3 linked regions of the Danio rerio genome follow. The protein of the gene in region 1 interacts with the protein of each later gene in a biochemical or structural test. Links are inferred from orthologs where the notes say so. Each region holds a gene or a part of one and is shown on either strand. Other genes may lie near its edges.

Region 1 (5,390 bases):
TTAGATTGGTAACGGTACAACACAACCATTACCGCCGTGGAAACAGGTTAAGATCTGTCGAAAGAATATCGCACGTAAAACTTCAGTCTGGAGAAGTAACGCCTTTGGATCCTTCAGTCTGATCTGTGCAGCTTCGCAGAGTCTCGAGTCACTGGACAAACAGGAGACCGGACCGCGAGACTGCACTGCTTTAATCATGCCAATATGCGTGCAAAAGTAGGCTATCTTAAGCTACTTACTTCATACAAGTAACATTTATGCAGCCTTCAACAACATGTCTCCTCAGCCCATGCAACATCGTGCAGTTAAATAGAGCTTCGTGAATGAATCATTCACTCAGAGTCGAATCCTTAGACTGAGTCATTTTCACAAACACCGTTGTGTATGATTCATGGACAAGTTAGTTTGAACAATTTAAAATTCTTATTGTGTTTACGGTTAAAATATGTCATATTCGTTTTAAATTAATGCTGTGAAACTACAGGGATAAAGAGTTGGTATTAGCACTTTTACTTTAATAACTTGGTTATAAATTAATTTTATAAAGTATTTTAAGTAAACAATAAAATAAGCCAAAACAAAAAATAAAGATTTGATTTTAAAATGTGTTTTATTTAGTTTTATTGAAATATTTTAACATGCAAATATTATAAAATGCAATTATGTATACACAAAAAATAAACAAACAAGCATTAAAAACACAAATGCACGAACAATAAGTAACAATAAAATAGTCATGATTACATGAATTAATACATAAATACACAAATGGGAAAAGGTATACTATAAGTGCGCACACACAACCATGAAACTGTAAGTTTTTTTATTTTTTATTTTTTTATTTATTTATTTATTTTATTTTATTTTTTTTTATGTGTGCTTGCAAAGTAGATCTTCTTTTAAATGAAATACGTTTATATGTGAGGTTTGGAAGAAAAATCTTTAACCTCAAATCCATTCCCAGCGATACAGTGTGGCATGGGCTGGTTTAGTGATTTAGGGGCTCGCAATTCCAGCCATGGGGCCCAAAAGTTCTGAAATGCAACTTTTCTATTTTAAGTTATTTTTAAATGATTTATTTTGCTGTTTCTTTTTCTTATATCTCTCAATCACTCATTTTCTATATTTTGTCTCAAGCCAAAATAATAACAACATGTAAAGCATCTTGAAAACGTTTTAAATGAGTTTTCTTAAAATTAATTCACAACTAAAACTATATATAAAATACGATTTTTTTTTTTTTTTTTAATCTTTACCTAATTTGACTGCTGGACTTCTCCATGACTGAGGGGGTGATACATTTGCGCAGATGTAATAAACAATAAACATTTATTTTTTTATTATACACTCATCATAAAAAATATGACAGAAAATTGTGTTATATATAATTTATAGGTATAATTTATAATTATAGGTATTTATTTTGGGGCCCTCAGATTTCCTTGTTCCCTAAACTGCCGCTTATCTTGCTTATTGATTAAATCCACCCGAGTGTGGATTATTTACCATGGTTTATTTGAAATGAATCGATCAGTTTAAATGAGTCGATTCTAGAAGATGAATCAGTTGACTACCGGAAGAAAAACTTTAGCGTACATTTTAACCGGATGCAAACGCCTCCACTCCACTTCTTTCAGCAAAAACAAACAAACGTGTTTTAGTTACAGTGACAACAAATGCAAGTAGACACATTTAATCACATTTTTTCGCACCGTATAAACTGAAATTATTAGAGATGAAAATAAAAAAATCGTAACATTTCGTAACATTCACGACTGACGTATTCTTCAACCAATCATAGGGGAGAAGAAAAACCCGACATCCAATAAACTTCACTCGCTGAGTGTTTATACTAGAAGAGGTGGAGCTTGAGTCCAGTCTCCAGTGAGTTCTACGTCGCGGCAAAAGAGAAGTGACAAACGAACTTAAACTGCTTCAAATATCCCCCTAAACCGCGCAGACTTGCACAATGAATAGCGTTTTTAGGTCGACAGCGCGGTGTCTTCGCTCGGCGACATGGCAGTACAAAACCGCGCATAAGAACGGGGAGCTGTCGGTCGGCAGGGCCCGTCTCATGTGCTCCTCAGCGGGACAGAAGAACCTGGAGGAGATGGTGAAGAAGGACAAGGTGGTCGTGTTCATGAAAGGCACTCCGGCTCAGCCCATGTGCGGCTTCAGCAACGCCGTCGTTCAGATCCTCAGGATGCACGGAGTCGATAATTACGCTTCTTATAACGTGTTGGATGACCAGGATGTCAGACAAGGTCAGTGGCTGATGGTCTCTGGGGGTTGGAGGATTTGTAGAGTTTTAAAACTGGTTAGAGTTACATTTTGACTTGGGTGAAGTGCTAATCTCTAGTGTGATTATTCTTGAGCATATAGCATGCTAATCAGAAATAACTAGTTTAAAGGTCAAATTTAAGCTGTCACTTTAAAAAAAAATGTAAGTTATAAGTATATCTTAAGTGTAACGCTTTATGTGCATATATTTGCAAACATATTAAGGTAAAGTTAGTTTTAAATTCAGTCATTATGGCCTTTTCCTTGATAATATAATTTCTGTTAAGTATTCTTTGCAAATACTAAGTAATGAAATCAGCCCATGACTATTAAAGTACATTGTTCACAGACCACTTAATAGTGCTAATTGTGTTTTTAAGTAAGTTAATACTTGCATGTGACTTCAGAATAGTGGTTAAGTTGGTTTTATATTTGGATATTCAGACATTCTACTAAATAATATAATTTCAGAAACGTATTCTTTGCAAATTCTAAAAAGAGAAATTATTTTAGCACCAAATACTATCAAAGTACAGCATTGTTCACAGTGAAATACAGTGTGTTAATGTTGTTTAGTAGTCATACTTGCATGCTAATTCCGATCAAATATTCAAAGTAACATGGTAAATAATATTGAGACTTCTAAATGAACGAATGACCTACACTTCAAATAACAGATCATTTAAATACTGTATATGATGTACAGTCCTCTCTCATAGTACTAAATTAGTAAAAAACAACATTAATAAAATGGTTCTCATCAATTTCTCAATATTAACTAATGAATTGTAAAAAAAAAAAAAAAACTAAATAAAAATAATGACACTTTAATAATTACTTGATTTCTCATAAAGTTTGAAACTTCACCTTATCATCTCAACATTATCAGCTTTTACTGTTAATACATTATCAATATAACAATCCCCTAACAGTGATTTAACATATGAATTAACATAACATTAATCAATATAATGACTTGAGAAAGATATATACAAGTATACAAAACACCACCCATTCTTGTCATAGGACAAATTTTAAACGAGGTAAAGTTGGGTTTATATTCAGTGACAACTTATGATAAGTTCCATATTTTTGAATATTCGTTCTGAAATCATAGAGGTAAAGTTGGTTTTATATTCACTCTGTTCTTATGGGAAACCAAAGCATCATTACATGACAGTGTTCCATTATTTTAGGATGCTTATTCAGACATCTATCAACTATATTGTTTTATTTTAAGTTTAGCATCATCACAAGGAAATTCCTCATTATTATGGGGAACTTTTATAAATGTTATACATCGTTGCACACAATAATGGTTTGGCATCTCTTATTATTACTATTTTATTATTATTTATCAATTTGAAAAAGTTTCTCGTTGCTCATATATTCCATCACCAGTCACAAGATATCAACGAGAGATTTTGAAGTTATAAGTCAATTTAAAAATGATGTTTTTAAGTCCCAATAACCAGAAAATTCTGTATTTTTATTAATCCTAATTTTTGCATGTTTTGTATCTAATATGAGAGATTACTGAGACATTTGTCATGAGGACATTTTTCATTGTTTTAAGGAATGTTATCATTAAGAGGCAGTTTTGAAATAGTTTTGTCTTCTTGTAATAGCACCAAGGAGTCCATTATTGGTCGTTATACTAGTCTTATATTGCTTAATATGAGATCATAAAAATGTTTTTTTTTCCTCATTATTATGTGGTAATATTGCCTTGATGTTACACTAAGTTATGAGATTGAAGCAATTTGTACAAGATAAAGGTACGTTGTTGTTGTTGTTGTTGTGTTTTTTTTTTCTCAGAAGTTTTCCACAAGATACTAGACCTTAAAAGGAAAGTTCACCCAAAAAAAAGAAAAATTGTCATCTTTTTTACTTAGCCTTCACTTGTTAAAAACCTTTTTTGAGTTACTTAATATTTGACAGCTTGTATTTTCATTTGTAGTTAAAATGTATGCATATTTTAAAAAAGTTGAAATAACAAATTATTTAAGTAATTCAAAAATATTTAAAATACCTGCAGATTTTTTTATTTATTTATTTATTTATTTATTTATTTATTTATTTATTTATTTATTTATTTATTTATTTATTTTTCTTAAAACAATTTATTTGTTGATAACTTGGGTCTAAAACTGAATTAGTCCAGCATATGTGTGCTAACGGCAACAGCAGTGCTGTCAGCTCTGATTGTCTTTATCAGTCCAGAGCAGCAGGAAGAATTTGGGGAGTTAACCTTAAATGGCTGAGGTTAGTTTGCAAACAGTAAAGCCTTGACTTGAAAGTTTAGGACCAGGCAGTTTAAAGGAAACAAAGTAGATGACAATTTAAAATGAATGCTACAACATGGTGCAAGTAGCATCCTGTTTAACATAAATTAATAATTAATGTTACTTCTCAAATGCATATATCATTCATATATTATATTATATATATATATATATATATATATATATATATATACACACACACACACACACACACACACACACACACACACACACACACACAATAATTCATAATGAAAAAAAAAATGAAAAAGAGAAATCATGATTTCCAGCTATAAAAGACACAATTTTTTTCACCAGAAAATAGTTATATAGCATATTGTTATGGCCTGAAGGGTCTTGTTTAATTATTATTAGAAATTATCAATTTATTTATTAGATTTTAAATTGTATTTATTTTGTTGACTAGTTGTTGTCTAATTTTATTGTTTTCTATTATTATTTTTGTTGTGGTTTTAGCATAGCCATATTGTTGCATCTATTTTTATACAAATAAAAACAAAATATTATTAAAATATTTAATAAAATCTAAAAAATGTTGCAGTTCTTGTTTTAAATTGATTGTCAGAGTTAAGTATAAAACAATGGTATTATCTGTTATCTGTTAGTTTTACACTCTGAGGAAGGCATTGAGCTGTTTCCTGAAGAATGTAAATATAAAAATGAGTTTCATCCTTTTCCCGAATTGATATTTTTGCTGACATTTTGTTTTGTTTCTTCTAAAAGGAATAAAGACTTTCTCCAACTGGCCGACGATCCCACAGGTGTTCTTCAATGGCGAGTTTGTCGGCGGCTGTGATATTCTAC
Region 2 (5,442 bases), on another chromosome or scaffold:
GCACCAAACCTACACTGTAAAAAGTGATTATTTACTTAAAGCGAGTAAACCAATCATAACTTGTAACCTTTTAAGTTGATTTAACTTAAATGTTTATATTTATGCACACAGTTAATGTACTTAAATGATAAGGCAACAGGTTTACTCACTTATTTTAAGAAAAGTCAACTGATCATTTTGTTACAGTGCATTTATCCGACTGAATATCTAATATTACCCAGTTTTTGTTTCTGTAATGTCAGTCAGTCTCTACCCGCCTTTAGTTTCTCTGCCATAGTGTGATCATGTCTGGATCCCCCCATGCATGGAGGGCTTTTTGCCAGGCTGGGGTTGCTGCTCCACTGCTGAGGCGTCTTGGCCTGGATAGAGAGCGCATGGATGCAGGTACTGAGCTCCTCCTTCAGGGTCTCGTTTACCAGCCGGTGACGCTGTAACAAGGAAAGACCTTCGAACTGAGGACTCACCACCAGAACTTTGAAGTGGGACTCTGATCCAGGGGGAACGGCGTGCATGTGGCTCTCATTTATGACCTCCAGGTGCTCAGGATTGAGGGCCTTGCTCAGTTTGGTGCGTATGGTGGTCTCTACGGGACGGGGAACACTTGGGTCCATGTGGTGAGCGAGAGGTCTGGATAAGACAAGGGTGCTGGAGATGGGACGCAGGCAGCGTAGAGCACTGGACAGCATCAGGCGTGGAGGAAAACACCTGCAAGATGTTAAAGTTTCATGACAAGCGGTTAAAAACAAGTGATTAAGGGATAGTTCACCAAAAACTGAAAATTATGTCATAATTAGCTCACCATTTACTTGTTTGTCTTTCTTCTGTTAATCACAAAAAGAAGATATTTTGAAAAATGTTGTAAAACTGTAACCATTGACTTCCATAGTATTGGTTTATCCTGCTATGGAAGTCAATGGTTACAGGTTTTCAGCTTTTTTCATCAAAATATGTTCTTTAGTGCTCAACAGAATAAAGAAGCTAATATATTAAGTGGCTGAAACCCCCTTGAGTGTCTGTAAATTTGTGTTTTTGAGTGAACTATCCCTTTAAATCAGAGATGCCCAAAGTAGTGCCCGCAGGCCAAAGTTGGCCCATTGTAACTTTTGATTTGGCCCACCACCGGTAAGGAGAGTGAGAATGATGGAGAGGTTTGGGCGAAGGCGAATGTTATTTCTAATATGATGTAAAGTTTTTTTGCTTGTTTGTTTTATTGTTGAGCTATAAAAAAGCTTTGCCAGAAATTTGTTTCAATTTATGTAAATGAATCAGATTTTTGTAAATGTACAGTAAATAATGTCACTCAATGGATAGAGGACTATGCAGAAGACATTAGGTAGCAAATCAAGGCAAAACTAGTTTAATTCTGTTATAAATGACATTGTTTTTACTGTAATAAGTTTATAATAAAATATAATATTTGCTGTATTAGTTGATACAAAGCAATGTTTTCTAGTCATTTTAAATATTATTAAATAAAATGGGGCAACCATTACTGCATCCAAAATGGTGAAAAGCCTTGGAGTAACGATTGATGACCAACTAAACTTCTCTAACCACATTTCTAGAACTGCTCGATCGTGCAGATTCGCACTCTATAACATCAGAAAGATCCGACCCTTCTTATCTGAACATGCAGCTCAACTCCTTGTTCAAGCTCTTGTTCTCTCCAAACTGGATTACTGCAACTCTCTACTAGCTGGGCTTCCAGCTAACTCTATCAAGCCTCTTCAACTGCTCCAGAACGCAGCAGCACGAGTGGTCTTCAATGAACCTAAACGAGCACATGTCACTCCGCTGCTAGTCCGTTTGCACTGGCTGCCAGTTGCTGCTCGCATCAAATTCAAAGCTCTGATGTTTGCCTACAAAGTGACTTCTGGCCTTGCTCCTTCTCATCTGCTCTCACTTCTGCAGATCTATGTGCCCTCCAGAAACTTGCGTTCTGTGAATGAACGTCGCCTTGTGGTTCCATCCCAAAGAGGGAAGAAATCACTTTCGCGAACGCTCATGCTCAATCTGCCCAGCTGGTGGAATGAACTCCCTAACTGCATCAGAACAGCAGAGTAACTCGCTAATTTCAAGAAACGACTAAAAACTCAACTATTTAGTCTCCACTTCACTTCCTAATCTGCAATTGCCTCTGAATATTACACAAACTGTACCCAAGAAAAAATAAAAATACTAATACTACTAATACTTTCCTTCTTAGACTTTACAGACCTGAAACTTGCCTATAGCACTTATTCATTGTTGCTCTTAGTTGTGTAAATTGCTTCCTTGTCCTCATTTGTAAGTCGCTTTGGATAAAAGCGTCTGCTAAATGACTAAATGTAAATGTAAATTAGGAAATTAGCCATGGCAACTGCATTTACCTTCAGCCCACTAGCCATGCAAGTTTGGCTTTTAAATGGACAGTTCACAAAAAAAAAAACATTTCCCCACCATTTACTTACACTTAATAAGTTCGAAAACAAAAGAAGATATTCTGTAGAATGTTGGGGGAAAATAAGTAATTGAAACCATAGAAGAAACAAACAAACCAAAAAACACTAAGTCAATGGTTGTTGTTTTTTCCAGGATTCATCAGTGTATCTTTTTTCATGTTCAAATGAAGAAAGAAACTCGGATAATTTGGTATAATAATATTCATCTTTGGGCGACATGGTGGCACAGTAGGTAGTGCTGTCGCCTCACAGCAAGGAAGTCGCTGGCGTGTCTGTGTGGAGATTGCATGTTCTCCCAACGTTCGTATGGGTTTCCTCCGGGTGCTCCGGTTTCCCCCAACAGTCCAAACACATGCGGTACAGGTGAATTGGGTGAGCTAAATTATCCGTAGTATAGTGTATGAGTGTGAATGAGAGTGTATGGATGTTTTCCAGAGATGGGTTGAGCTGGAAGGGCATCCTCCGCGTAAAACATAAGCTGGATAAGTTGGCGGTTTATTCCGCTGTGTAGACCACAGGTTAATAAAAGGGACTAAGCGGGAAATAAAATGAATATCCAGATTTAGGTTTAGTTAATATATTGTTTGTTTATTATTTTCCCTTCAAAACACCATGTCCTTAACGTGATATAAAAACAATTACAAAACTTCGAAATTTTCTTTAGAAATTGCGAATTTTGATAGAAAAATCGAGATTTAAAAGTCAGCAATATGCTCATTAAAACATTATTTGTTTTACTGTATTATTAAAGATACCTGAGCCTATAACAGAACTCATATTTTGTTTATCTGACTTATGAAACGTTATTGAAGTGAACCGAAACACTTTGAACACTCTATATCTTCAGCAAAACAGAGAAAGACCGCAAACGCTTGCTTAAATAGGGTTGAAACATATTGGCCGCCATCAGTTAGAAATCTTAAAACAAAAACAAATAAGTTAACGTTACCGGTGCAAGTACATATCTACAAGAACAGCGTAAGACATGTCATAAAATGAATGCAGCTTAACATGACAACCAGTCTAAAAATATATATAAACAGGTGCTAAAATATGTTAAAATCGACACAATGACAAATTACAGACTGGCAAAATAATTTTACTCACCTTTGCTCTTCAGCGTGTTGTTATTGTATCACACACAGGAAGCGATTCAGGCAGATCCTCCTTCACAGTTTGGATTGCAAGCAGCTGAAATGACTTTACTGCCCTCTAACGCCTGTACAGGGAGTTACGTCAGATGCGCGAGCTGTTCTGTTATTGGGATATACTGCAAAGTCTGTCTATTAAAGGGGGCTTTGGTTATACTAAATGGATTTAATTAATTATTACATAAATCATATATCTATTGGAAACTCCAGAGACAGTAAACACAACAGTATTGACTGAAACATGTTGTTAGTGATTTTAAAGGCTTAAACATTTTTAAAACAATTTTAAGCTTATCTGTTCAGTTTTCCAAAACAAATCTCAAATCAAAGGTCCAATCAAATTAAAGCAGGCGGTTTATGTTTAATCAGAAAAGCGCGAAGTTTACCGCCAAGATGATTCATTGAGGTAAGCTTGAAGTAATTTGTAGTAAACATTTAGCCCAGTGGTCACCAAACTTGCTCCTGGAGGGCCAGTGTCCTACAGATTTTAGCTCCAACCCTAATCAAACACACCTGAACAAGCTAATCAAGGTCTTACAAGGTATGCTTGAAACATTCAGGCAGGTGTTTTGAGGCAAGATGGAGCTAAACCCTGCAGGGACACCGGCCCACCCGTACCAGGATTGGTGACCCCTGATTTAGCCTATACTGTAACAACACCCAGATAGCAATACACTCAGGCCAATTCCGGCTAGATTCTCGCCTGCCGGAGACTTAGTCTTTTAATAAATTGATATAAAACCTTTTGGTATTACATTGATACTTGATACATGGTATTACAACCATTTGAATTTACATAACAGCAAACGCAGGCTATAGTGTAAACGCAAAGTGTAGGCACTGCGTTAACCTTTGAATAATGCAAACAGCTTACATATCTGATTACGAAAATAACCAAACAAAGGACAAAATAAATAATAATAATAAACGTTTGTTGATTGCAAGAAACAAAAAATACAAAAATTGAATAAATTATTTAAGATAGAAAACATCCAGTACTGTAAACCACTCGACATTTTTCCTTTAGTCGTTTTATGTTGCATATTCATGGTGTATAATTCATGTAATTTAACAGAATGTAGGCTTTCTAGCCTAAGTTAAACCTAAGACAAGACATTTACGTTTTCAACACGTTTAGTATAGACGTTTAGATTGAATGTGAATTTTAAAAGATAGAACTTGCTAAAATAATTACAAACTAGAATTAAACATTACTTTACTGTTTTATGTCTTTAATTTCTAAAACGATATATTTAAGACATGATTGTGACTTTTGCATCACCCTAAAATTCAATCAAAACATTCAGAGCATTTATTTTGATCTGGCGGCAAATAAATGGTCACAATATTCATTTTAATTTCTTGAGGATAACCAATGGCGAATTACCTGAGGTTGCAGATTTAAAACTTTCTCGTGCAAAAAAACCGAGGTTCTGCCTTGCCAAAGACAAGGAAAGAAGTTGAAGCTATACAAGGCCAGGGTAATTTATCATCAACTGCATTCTGACAGCGAACTGCACCTTTACGGCAGAGTATCTGAATGTACATTTTTACATTTCATTCTAAGCATTCAGTGTCTGAAGTTTAATGAACAATATTTAATTGTTTTTGCTGAAATCATTGCTGCAATCAAAAACGAGTAATGTGTATAATTCAGCATAGCGTGAACTTACCTGATATAAAATTAAAACAGCAGAGTCCAGCATTTTTAATTAGGTCCTCACTCCATTCAGCTCTTATGATGGCTGATGGCCAAAGACATCTGCGGATGGCATTAAAAGCAGTGAGGTATACGCTAAAATTTAAGTTTTCTATTTTTGACTTTTTAACTATTTCTATCTAATATATTT
Region 3 (5,182 bases), on another chromosome or scaffold:
CACCATTATTAATAGTGTGCTGTAATTGTGGAGAAGTGGGGGACTATGATGACATAATTTGGGAATGTCCTAAAATTGAAGTGTACTGGCAGGACGTTTAAAGGAAGATTAGTAAAGTTATATGATACGTCATATCATGCATCCAGTATATATATATATATATATATATATATATATATATATATATATATATATATATATATATACATACAATTGCAATGCAACACAACCTATTTGCTCATGCACAGTGAGCAAGCTCATACACAACACACATAGTGAAATTAATGAGGAGGCATGTGGACAACACAACATCTAAATCAAGTCATTTTAGCATGTCAAAGTCACATTTATGTATATAAAATATATTTTCCAAACAACAAAATTGTGGCTATTGATAATGGCAAGTGGCTAGTAATGTTGGAAATCTACTAGCCACAGTGGCTGGTGATCAAAAAAGTTAATGTAAAGCCCTGTGTGTGTGTATATATAGATATATATATATATATATATATATATATATATATATATATATATATATATATATATATATATATATATATATATGAAAATGTGAAGGGGGCTAATAATTCTGACTTCAACTGTATATATATATATATATATATATATATAGATTTGAGAAAAATGTCTGCAGATTTGCAGTTGAAATCAGACATTTTCCAATTGGCCTAGGCATTAATCGAAACATATTTACTTGATTGTTAAAATGCTGTCAGGGCCTATGTTGTAGGTATTGTCTTTGTATTGGAGTTTATTTATGCATTTATCTACTTTTTTCCTTTTTTCCCCTTTTATTGTAATGCATTGTCTTTTTTAAGCAGTCACTGTTATTTATTTATTATAATAATTGATCTATTATTACCATTTATCTATTATTTTATTTTTGTGACTGTAAACATTCTAAGTAAATGTTATGTGTACACTATGTTTATAAAAAATTGAATTAAAACAGAGTAAAAACAAAGTGCACTGCACTATTATTCGAGTATTTTGAACCCATTTGCTTTTTTACTTACTTGATTGACTAATTGGTGTTGCTGTACTGTTCTCTTTCCTTTAAATTCATCAGACTCGATGTGTATTTCATACATTGCACCACATCCTCCTGAAATTACAAATACATTACTACAGGTCTTTAAACATAAGATCTGAAGCTTAAAGGGATAATTAACCTAAAACAAATAAATTAAAATATCAAGAGTTCAGATGCAAAAGCCAAACATCCATTTCCGCCAAAAATAAGATAACGACACTGAGTGAATGCTTTAGGCACGTAGTACATGTTCAACAAATATTTTTGCTTGAAATCATTTAAATCTCAGCATCAGCCCATTCAGAAATAACAGTTTGTTGGCAAAAGCCCCTAAATGCCACTTGCTTTTGACAGCAAAAGCCGATATATCCCGAGAACCAATCAGAAGGCGCAAATTGAATCATATGTTTTTAATGTAGCGGTGCGCTGATACGGCAGCTTTTGTGAGGAGACTGTTTTATTCTGCTTTCGATTTTAAAAGATGGAGTTTGAGGAATTGGATGAGCTTGTCCGACTGTCAGTGAGTGGCAAATGAAAACGTCCCTTACCTTAAAACTCTGTGCATTATAAGGAAAAGACAATACACTGTACAGTCAGAAGTGTAGCATGCATTCATAATGTTTTTTTTTTTGTGTAGTGACACTATTTTGAATGAGTCCGGCTAACTATACATTAAACGGCAACTCCATTTCACGAATGACAGAGTTAAGATGGCGTTCTTTTGTCCCGTATGGATGCTATGAGGATAAACAATAGACAAAGACTGTGAGTATGGAATGAATGACAGCTTTTAAAAGTGTCCCCTTTTTGACTAGTAGGCCTACCTTGTGTTCTATTTGCTATTGTAAGCTATTTTTAAAAAGATTAATTTTTTAATCTTGAAGAAGATTTATACTTCATAATAGTTATATACCTAATAAGCTTTTTATATTAATGGACAAAGCAGTTATTGATGATTTACAATGTTTTTACAAATGTTTACATTGCTCTATTTACATTAAATCTAAATCCCAAATATCAGAAATGACAACAGATTAAGATTTAATTCATATCAATTTTAATGTAATTGATTGATGCACTTACTTGACAGATTTCATTCATTCATTTTCCTTCTACTTTGTCCCTGGTTTATCAGGGGTTACCACAGCGGAATGAACCGCCACTTACTTGACAGATTTGAATATTTTTAGTTTTAGGTGTTTAATGTTTGGTAAAATAATTTTTAATTGCATCTTTAGTGATTTTTTTAACTAATTACACTGTCTTGTCCCAATAGGTGGATTTAGAGGTTCTTGCAACAAAAAAAAAAAAAAAAAAAGCAGAGGTGGATTTAGCTGGTTGACGCAAAAGAAAATCTACTTTCTTAAAAAACAAAAAAAATTGTCTAAAGTGACATTTTTGGAAAATAAATTAAATAAAAATTTAATTTACTAGCTAATAACATTATCATTAGCTATAAAATAAAACTTCTGAACCTAATTATAAAAGCCTGATAGAAAATAATGATTTACAAGAAAAGAGGTCTGCTATTTGGAGGGTTTTGCATCTGAACTCTCCATTTATTGCTTCACTATTTACTCACAGTGGTTCAAAACTTTCATGAATGCCTAACATTCTAAATAATGTTGAAAAGAGCAGCCACTGGCCTCCATATTAGTAAAAAAAACTCTACGAAAGTAATTTAGGTAAAGCTGGTTTTATATTTGAACATTCCGACTTTCTCCTTAATGATATACTTTAAGAACAGTATTCTTTGCACATTCGGAACAAGGAAATCATATTAGCCGCCAATGACTATCAAAGTACAACATCTCTTAAATGAATCATGCCGAATATTCAAAGTAACGTCACAAGTTGTCATAGCTAAAAAACGAACAAACGTAAACATATAAAACCAACTTTACCACATTATAAACGTCGACAGCTGCTTTTCCAACTTTCAGCAGTAGTCTACATATTCCTAAAACTTTTTATTCCTACAGAAGAAACTCAAACATGTATGGAACAAGTGGAAGATGAGGAAATGATGACATAACCTAAATTTTTGGGTGAACTATCCCTTTAATTCAGGGTCGGTCGAGACTCACCTGATATATCCACAACTTTAAGAGCTGTAGCTTGAGGAAACTTCTCCTTCAATACTTGTGCGATTCTCACCTCTCCGTCGGTCTGACTGGATAAAGACCTCGCGATTATATTTCTACACAGCACCTGAGGCTAAAGACACAAGGAAACATAACATAAACAGTGTATCTTATATTTAACAAGCAAACTAATCTCTCAACGCGACACATGTACTGTCATCTTGAACAAATGCTCAGCAAACAAAAACACCTCGGTCAAAATAAAGACAGATAGGATTGGTATATTTACGTTGTGTCTGATGGCTCTAAGCAGAGACATGATGGTGTCGATGGAGTTTTTAAATTCACCAAAATGTCATAAAATATATTGAGCACAAAATACACTTGACAAAGTCATGTCCTGTTCAATTCCAGCGCCTGTCTCAGGAATATGTCGTCACGATCTTCAGAAACATTTCTCTAGCGCCTCCCTGTGATCAAACTGTAAATTAATTTTGCAAATGTGAGGGATTTGAACTTTTCTCTGGATTCGAATCTTTTGACTATGTTCCCTAAAAGATTCACAGACTTCTTCTCAAAGTTACTAGAGAAGCGGTCGCATTTCAGAGTAATGTTTGTTAATGGACACACTTTATTTTAAGGCACAATTCCCGCTGTTAATATCCAAACCATTTGCCAAGATAAACTTATAATTTGCTTCTTATTAATAGTCTAGTAATTACAACTGCTATTAAATAGAAATAGGGGCAGTAGGGATGTATAAAACCATAATAAACTGCATAATAAACATATTTTTTAATAATCTTTACTTTTTGTTAGTAAAAATACTTAAACTAAAGTGTTACTTTGTTGATTAATTTATGTGGACAAAACATTTTTTTCATATATACAATTATTATTATTATAGTTATTTTGCTATTATTATTACCAAGGAACCAAAATGAAATAAAGGAAACCATCACAAAAGATTCTAATAGGTTACGAATATAATTAAACAATTACAATCATATTTTGACTTTTAAACCTGTACATTTGAATGTTTTCTAGTGTGTTTTTGGGACATATTCCATTAGAATTTATTAGTTTGAATATGCAAATAATAGATGGCAAAAATGTCCATAAAAGGTTTCCATTAAAACCCAATATAATCCCCATTATAATCAGTGCCAGATTTTGCAGGTACATTTATAAGCGAATTATCAGTTTGTAAACATTCAGGATGCGCATGCAGCGAGGTTGCAGAAAAAACCAGGAGTGCAAGCATTTACAGCGAGGGAATGTTTGTTGTTGTATTAGAGATAAGTTATATTGATTACATATAATAATTATATAATGCTTTCAGGGTATTGAAACAGCTCGTCACCCAGTGTTAAACACAGTTATTAGGCAAAATTAATGTTAAAGTGAGCGGTGTTCATCTGACAGGTCCATTTGCGGTAGCACCCTCCCAATGGATATTGGATAAGTCGAAATGGCCAAGCATCCAGCCCAAAATATACAACTATCTCATTGAAACTCGACATGGTTTTACAAGAGAGAATTTAAAGGCCTACAAGTCTTTGGATGCCAACATGTTCTGTGTGGTCATGTGCAAGAAATTATGTTCCATTACTTCCAGATTCAAAACTCTGTAGTGCAAAAAACCGAGGTTCTGCCTAGCCAAAGACAAGGAAAGAAGAAGGAGCTATACATGATGGCCTGGGTAATCATCAACAAGCAAAACAACTGCATTCTGACAGTGAACTGCACCTGCATGGCAGTGTGAACTTAAATTTTTACATTTCATTCTAAGCATTCAGTGTCTGCAGTTTAATTCACCATATTTAACGTTTTTTGCTGAAATCATAGCTGCAATCAAAATCAAGTAATCGAGTACTTACCTCATGTGAAATGAGAACTGCAGAGCCGAGCATTTTTAATAAGGTCCTCACTCCATTCAGCTCTACTGATGGCTGTTAGCCAAAGTCGTCTACGGCTATCATTAAAAGCAGTGTGGTGTACAGTAAAATTTAGGTTTTCTATTTTTTCCGATTTTGGCATCCTACCG

The links.
Region 2: the proteins of glrx5 (region 1) and bola1 form a complex in vitro, tested with the Homo sapiens proteins (2 studies listed by BioGRID). The link is inferred for Danio rerio from reciprocal best matches to the Homo sapiens genes GLRX5 and BOLA1.
Region 3: the proteins of glrx5 (region 1) and bola3 form a complex in vitro, tested with the Homo sapiens proteins (4 studies listed by BioGRID and IntAct, with this or other methods). The link is inferred for Danio rerio from reciprocal best matches to the Homo sapiens genes GLRX5 and BOLA3.

The regions. Positions count from the first base shown.
Region 1 is NC_133195.1:10,649,608-10,654,997, reverse strand, and holds the start of glrx5 (glutaredoxin-related protein 5, mitochondrial), read left to right. Parts: upstream 1-1,920; 5' UTR 1,921-1,969; coding exon 1,970-2,264; intron 2,265-5,309; coding exon 5,310-5,390.
Region 2 is NC_133191.1:50,673,700-50,679,141, reverse strand, and holds the start of bola1 (bolA-like protein 1), read right to left. Parts: upstream 3,621-5,442; 5' UTR 3,549-3,620; intron 706-3,548; 5' UTR 687-705; coding exon 243-686; 3' UTR 1-242. UniProt on the Homo sapiens protein: Acts as a mitochondrial iron-sulfur (Fe-S) cluster assembly factor that facilitates (Fe-S) cluster insertion into a subset of mitochondrial proteins. Probably acts together with the monothiol glutaredoxin GLRX5. May protect cells against oxidative stress.
Region 3 is NC_133182.1:70,718,217-70,723,398, reverse strand, and holds the start of bola3 (bolA-like protein 3), read right to left. Parts: upstream 3,621-5,182; 5' UTR 3,455-3,620; coding exon 3,425-3,454; intron 3,269-3,424; coding exon 3,139-3,268; intron 1,124-3,138; coding exon 1,035-1,123; intron 1-1,034. UniProt on the Homo sapiens protein: Acts as a mitochondrial iron-sulfur (Fe-S) cluster assembly factor that facilitates (Fe-S) cluster insertion into a subset of mitochondrial proteins. Probably acts together with NFU1.